Rattus norvegicus: one gene and its partner. The protein of the gene in region 2 interacts with the protein of the main gene of each other region in a biochemical or structural test. Links are inferred from orthologs where the notes say so. Each region holds a gene or a part of one and is shown on either strand. Other genes may lie near its edges.

Evidence for each region.
Region 1: the proteins of Vcpip1 (region 2) and Wac form a complex in vitro, tested with the Homo sapiens proteins (2 studies listed by BioGRID). The link is inferred for Rattus norvegicus from reciprocal best matches to the Homo sapiens genes VCPIP1 and WAC.

Annotation. Positions count from the first base shown.
Region 1 is NC_086035.1:60,616,669-60,620,417, reverse strand, and holds the start of Wac (WW domain-containing adapter protein with coiled-coil), read right to left. Parts: upstream 2,308-3,749; 5' UTR 2,100-2,307; coding exon 2,059-2,099; intron 1,974-2,058; exon of another isoform or gene 1,771-1,973; intron 1,669-1,770; coding exon 1,632-1,668; intron 76-1,631; coding exon of another isoform or gene 57-75; coding exon 1-56.
Region 2 is NC_086023.1:14,341,027-14,344,317, reverse strand, and holds the end of Vcpip1 (deubiquitinating protein VCPIP1), read right to left. Parts: intron 1,547-3,291; coding exon 675-1,546; 3' UTR 594-674; downstream 1-593. UniProt on the Homo sapiens protein: Deubiquitinating enzyme involved in DNA repair and reassembly of the Golgi apparatus and the endoplasmic reticulum following mitosis. Necessary for VCP-mediated reassembly of Golgi stacks after mitosis.

The sequences.
Region 1 (3,749 bases), on a different chromosome or scaffold from region 2:
TTTTCATGTCTGTGATCACCACTGCTGGGGTGACTCTTTGACGAATACTTAAGTGTCTGTAAAACATCACCCCCCCAAAGAGAGAAAAATTGAAATTTAAACTCAATTCTCAATTTAAATTACGAGTTTTGGTATATCAAGTTCCCTTACACTAAAACTCAGAATTTCCATTTTCAGTACTTCCTTTATTCAGAGACGATGTAAATGATCAAAAGTTACTGTGCAACTCCTAGTAACAAATGCAACCATAAAACACACAAACACACACACAAAGAAAAAAACCTACTCGATCATGTAAACCTTTTTAAGCAGTATTTTGGCACACTGATCCACTAGAAAAAAAAACCTTCAAAACTAAAATCACTTTTTGAGAGCTTAAATTACTATCCATTTAATCTCTATAACTAATAAATACATCAAGCACATCTATAAATTAGCGTATTTTAATAACCATATTTTTTAAAAAACAAGTTTTTCCTCTTTTTTTGATTTAAATAAAGCACTATCCCTAATTTATAAGTTTTCAGGGATAAAATACTTTTAAAAGTAACAATATGTGCCAGAACAAACTGATTCATGAACAATGTTTCTAAGAAGGCATAATTCTAAATGCTCTCAAAATAATGGTTTTACACTGCAGGTGTCTGAAGATGAACACAATGTATCAGTTGGGAGGGAAGGAAGGAGGGGGAGAGGGAGGGAAGGAGAGAGGGAGGGAAAGAGAGAGAGAGGTCAATAATGTTTGACAGATGCAAATGTTCTGACATCCCAGAAGTTCCTGTACCAGGTTAGAAAACATGCTTGCACTCTTCCCAGGCTGGTGGCTCTCACGTGTAATCAAGCATTCAGAAGACTGACAGGAGTAAAATTGGACACAAGCCTGGACCACAGAACCTTGAGGGGGACACAGACCTGTTCCTATTCTTTTCTCTTTTAAAGGTGATTAGAGTATAAAGCATTTACTTCTGTTGTCTTCAGACAGTATCCTGAGGACACTTCAGCAAACCTTTAAAACTTTACATGCAAAACCTTCAGTGGAATAGACACCCAGAATCATTTCTATTAGAATGAAGTACTAAGTCACAGAAGGTTTAAATTAACTGAAGCAAAAACAAAACCTTTCCCTTGAAATAGAATAATCTGAGCTAAAAAAAAAAAAATGGTAAGAGTATCGTTACTGAGAGTAACTCAAGTTACTTCTCTCTGGCCGTTCATATACTTTTAAAACTTTCACATTTATCTTTCAGCTCCCCAATAGAATAGTAAGCAAATGTGCCTCCGAAGTCACCTATCACTACACCTCAGTGACTCCTTCACACTCAAACCTAGCCAGGTCTTCCTGCTTCCGAGTATTTTTTTTTTCCTTAAAAACAAACAAGCAAACAAAAACCAAAAGGCAAAACAAAACAAAACCCTGAACTTCCTCTAGTCAGCTCTCAAGATAAGTCCCTAGACACGTTTGGAGAATGCTAATAAAAGCCAATACGGAATTTTAAGCGGGCCAGTGGTGCTACTTTCAGATTTGTTGCACCAAAGGGCCTGTAGCGACTTTTGAAGCCTGCGCTCGAGTAGCAGTCCCTCCCTTCCCCCTCCAACCCCTTCAATCCCTCCACCCCATGATCGGCTGGTACCTGGAAAGGCTGAGAGTCCCCCCTCCGGTCGTGACAGCTGAAAAACAGTAAAGAAGGACCGTAGTGTGAGAGACATCCCGGGAAAGGAAGAAAGCGGGTCTCCCGTCCGCCCCTCCCCGCGGGCCGGCGACAAACGTACCGGCGCGGATCTGTGCGCTGCGGACGCTCCCGGGGCTCAAAGGCCCGGGTTCGGACTCGGGCCGCAGCCGCAGCAGCAGCCCGCTCGCCAAGCCCGCCAGGTCCCCAGGGCGCCCGCCTGTCCGCCCGGCCCGGCCCGGCCAGCCGCCTCCTCTGACTGATCCCGATCAGGGTTAACAACAAAAATGGCGGCGCGGCCAGCTCCCGATAAGGACGCCCGCCCGCCCGCCCGCCCGTCCGCCTGCCCGCCCTCCGCCGCGGCCCGGCCCGAAACGAAAAGACGATTTACCCATCACTGAGTCTCTGCTGTTTCCTCGCATACATTACCATCAATGCCCGGCTGTGTGTGTGTGTCGGGGAGGGGGAGAGCGGCCGCGAGGCGGGCGGGCGCGCGCGCGGGCGGCGGGCGGGCGGCGGGCAGCCCCGGCACCAGGACTCGGCGCACCCTCGGCGGCTCGCGGCACCTCCCCGTTACTGGCGCCGGCGGTCCCCGGTCATCTCCCTCCGTCACCACCGCTTAGGGTCAGCCGGGACAGAGGTGCCAACTACAGGGCGGCAGCGCGAGCCGGGGGGAGGGGGCGAGAGGCCGTGTTCCGGTCCCCGCGGAGAGCGAACGCCTCCAGCACCTTCCCTCCTCCTGCTCCGCCGCCGCCTGCCCTCCTCCCCCCCGCCGCCGAGTCCTTCTCGCCGCCTCCTGCCGCTGCTACAGCCGCCGCCGCTCCACCAACTACATCCGGGCAACTCGGACGCAGCCGCCTTCGGGAAAGCTCGGCAGTTTCCGCCACACCCCCTCCTCCCCACCCCGCGCAGCTCGAGAAAGCCGCCTTCGGCAAACCTCGGCTTGCTCCCGCCCTCTTCTTCCTCTGAGGCCTGGGCTCCTAGCGCCGCGACCCGTCAAGCCCTTCCGGTTGCTGCTTTTCCTCGCTCTCGAATCCGGCCACTCCCGTTCCACTTTAGGGGTAGTCGTGCTCGGGAGCCTGCGTGAGGCGGGCCCTGGGGCCTCCTGGCTGCGCGGGGTGGGAGCCGCCTTCGGGAGGAGAACCGTGGGGCGCGAGGGACGCCATCTCGGACTAAATGCGGAGCGGCGGCAGCTGCGCGTGCGCCCAGAGGCGCAACGGCGGCGGGGGCGGGGTGCCCTCCGCGAGGCGGCCGCGGCCCCCGCCCCTCGGGCTCCTTGCGGGGGTCGGAAAGCCCCTAATTGGGCGGCCCGGACGGTTTTCGCGGAGCCTCGACGGGCCGCGGCGGAAGTCGCCCTCAGTCGGCCGTGAGAACCCAGAGTCGCGGCCGGTGCTGTCACCGACTAGCGCGGAGCACACGCCTGTGGCTCAGGCCTGGGCACTGCAGACGTAAGTGCCCGGCCACGGGGAGCCACCGAGCCTTCCTACCGCGATTCCTGTGTCCCTCCTAGCTCTTCCTCTCCCTGGAAGGAAATTCTTTCGAGAGGACGGGTGTGAAGAAAGCGTGCGGTGTAGTGAGTGAGGTTGCTATAAATTATTTGCGATACACGGGGAGGAAACGTAACAGTGACAATCTTTTCTTGGTGGCAGCCCCGGAACATGGGCTTAACAGAAGGAATTGCAGTAAACAGTAAAGAGAGCAGGATAAAACACATAAGGAAAGTAAACAATACCCCATCAAGGTTAAAAAAGAAAAATCGAAAAGACTATTTGGTATCCAAAAAGTTACAACAGTGTTAATTCTAAATAGTGTAATAACGGAATAGACCTAGAAATAAAGAGATCTTGAAATCATAGCAGAAAAAAAATGTTTAAATGGCAGTGTCGGCTTGTCAGATTCACTTATCAAATGCTAAGAGATTGTTATGGCAACTAGTAAAACCCTGCTTAGTGCCCACAGAAGCTGTCAGTAACTAGGAAAAAAAGGTGGTCAGTGCCTGGAATGACAGGGGAGGGCTAGAGGGAGAGGTCATTGGTAACAGATTAAACACAAGAAACAATTAAAATGCCCTTGGTGGGGCTA
Region 2 (3,291 bases):
TAAAAAAATAATGGCAACATATTATCAACAAGAGCATAGAACTAGCCATACTGGCTCTGACCAACAGACTGAGTCACACCGACTTTATCATACTAGGGTAGATACTTCTCCCCAACTCGGCTCAATTCAGGAAAATGTGTCACTCTCAACTGTCAAAATATTTTTGCCAACAATAGCTGTCTCTATAACGTTATAACTTTTAAGTAGTCAAAGTATTTTATGTATTTTAAGATACATTTAGTTCAGGTAAACTTGAAATCAACATTCTCATGAAATGTAGGATGGCTACCTTGATGACAATGTGTACCAACTGTCATTTCCTCTCCAATTCTGGTCTCTGCAGAAACCAAATATTTAGCAAGAGAATTTTCATGTCTGAAAATTAAGACTTTCATGGAATTAAAAATGACAAAGAACTTTCAATGAACCACATACATGGAATAAACCCTTTCAAAAGATCTAAACTAATTTACAAGAATTCAGAGCCAGCCTGGGCAGCAGTATATTAAAAGCTATTGCCAATCACACACTTGCTATCATGCACTGAATAACAAGATATAATCTTTGAATTATATACGTACAAGATTTTTAATGACTACTCAAGTTATGTGGCCCAGCCAACAAATATTACATATTCACAATAAACATCTGCCTTTATTAGCCTCTAAATTAAATCAAGAGTGATCCATCGGCTCAGTTGTGTTAGTTGTCTCAGCATCTTGACTATCCATCTCTTCAGGTTCCTCCATGGAATTTTCTTTTTGTGCTTTTGACCTTGTGGCAAATGCTGCTCCCAGTACATCTGCTACACGACTATCAGTTGTTTCAGTATTCAAATTCTCAGTGCCACCAGTTAAAGAAAAAGATTCAGGCAAGCCAGTCTGAAGATTCCCAGGCCTCACAGAAGAACTCACAGCTTCTACTTTTCTTTGAGAAAGATCAGATGGTGTTTGCTCTGTACTTTGATCCCGCAAGTGCTTGTCCATTGATGCCTGAATAGAAGAAACCATTTCCTGCAATTTTTTTCGCTGGGCCTCAACCACATCGGGATCAATCTGCCTACCATCTCTCATTGTTACCACTCCAGGAGCTATTCGAATAAGCTCACTATTACTAGAAGCAGCTGTGAACACAGGAGGCTCTGTTTTAATGGAACTATTACTAAAATCTGTCCCTGTATTATGCTTTCTTACAGCCAGAGTTTCCCTAGCTCTGGGATCCATGTGCGGGTTACTGGATGCAGTTCCTAGAGAATGGCCCTTCCCCTGAAAGGCAGTTACATTGTGAAGTTGCTCAGACTTCTTTTTCACTACTCCACCACTACCTAGTTTTAATAACCCATGTGAAGGGCTTGATTCCCTACTTCTTGTAGTAGCCTCTGCTCGAACCTGACTTACAGCCTCTTTAACTAAATCTTCAACATCAGGACCAATGGGGAAATGTCCTGCGGCATCGACACACAACTCCAGTCTGTCTTCAGAAGCATTATAAACAAAGGTTTTGCCAGGTAGATGTGGAAAAGTACAATGTTTGCCATCAGCCATGCCTAAAGAAAAAGAAAGATATTTCACGTTAAGATCTTGTTTACAATGCTATCAAATGCATAGCAAAGATATTTATGTCCAAAATAACAAAATTTCTGAATGCAACTGACAAACAACTTTCAAAAAATGATTTGCAACTGGCCAGTGTTAATGCATGCCTTTAAATCCAGCACAGGAGGCAGATACAGGTAGATCCTCTGAGCTGGAGGTCAGCTCTGTCTACAGGGCTACACAGTGAAACTCCTGGTACCAAAAACCAAAAAAAGAAGAAAAAAGAAAGAAAAGATAGAAAGAAAAAGAATACATCAAAAAACCATTTGCTGGAAAATAATTGAGTCTACTACCAAAAAATAAAAAAAGCATCAGTAAGACCTTAAAGTACTTCTCCCAGGGAATGAGGAATATATATATAGCATTATCCTATAGCAAAGTTAGGAAAAGAAGTTTAACTGAAAAAAGAAAAAAAAGTTTAACTGAGTTACCAAAAAAAAAAAAAAAAACCCAACAACAACGAAACCTAACCATAAAGTAAATCAATAAGAAAATGTAATAAATAAAATTATTAAAATTAAAATTATAATTACAAACAAATATTAATTTCAATAGTAGAAAAAAATGTGAATTAATAAAACTCCAGGTAGAAATTTCTCCTGACATGTTTCTGGCATAGTCAACTGACAGAAAGACTGTAGCTGCTGCCAGAGTTGTGGCTCAGGAAAACGGAACTTCCATTGTGCACATCCTCAGGCCAAACCAAGCCACACAAATGAAAGAAAGAACATAGCAAGTCAGATCTAAGTGGCCATTTACTTATTTAAAAAAAGGCATGGTGGGGGCTGGGGATTTAGCTCAGTGGTAAAGCGCTTACCTAGGAAGCGCAAGGCCCTGGGTTCGGTCCCCAGCTCCGAAAAAAAGAACCAAAAAAAAAAAAAAAGGCATGGTGGTCATGCCTTGAATCCCAGCACTCAGCAGGAGGATCAGGAGTTCAAGGCCTGCCTGAAAAAACTGCCAGGAGACTCGATATTCCACCACTATTCCCTGCTTTCATTTATGTGGACATCCAGTTGTCTCAATACCATTTTAAAAATAGACTTTTATTTCAATTCTCAATTCTATACCTAACATTTAAAAAAATCTTCAGGCCCTGCATGGTAATAAAAGCACTAGCTGCACAAGCAGACCCGAGTTTGATTCCTAGATCCCACTGTGGAAGGAGAGCTTCCAACAGGTGTCCTGATACACATGTAGTGACTCATGCATGTTCACATGTGCACACAAAACAAGATCTTAAATAATGCTTACAACTAGAAAACAAAAATAAATTATAATAGCCTAAGCTTCTACTTAGAGAACCAGAAGGAAAAGAAACTTTAAATCCAAACCTTACTATTAAAGAAAAACTTGAAAATAAAAATACAACTTAATGAACTAAAGTCAGAATAGGTATTCAAAACAGAAGCTGTGAGGCTTCACTTTAAATTTTACACTTTCAATATTGATTATATTTTATTTTTAAACAACAACAAAAATACCCACAAGAGAATTAGAACCAAAAACCAATTAGCTTTCTGTCTTCCTTCATATCTCCTGTCTAAAGCAAGCAAAAGAGAAAAGCCTATGAATCCAAATGTTGTTTCTTTGAAAAATACCAATAAAACTGATAAACCAAATATTAGCCAGACCAGAAGCAAAACGGAGGGAGGGAGAATGCACAAATGACTAACATTAGAAATGAAATGGCTACAGG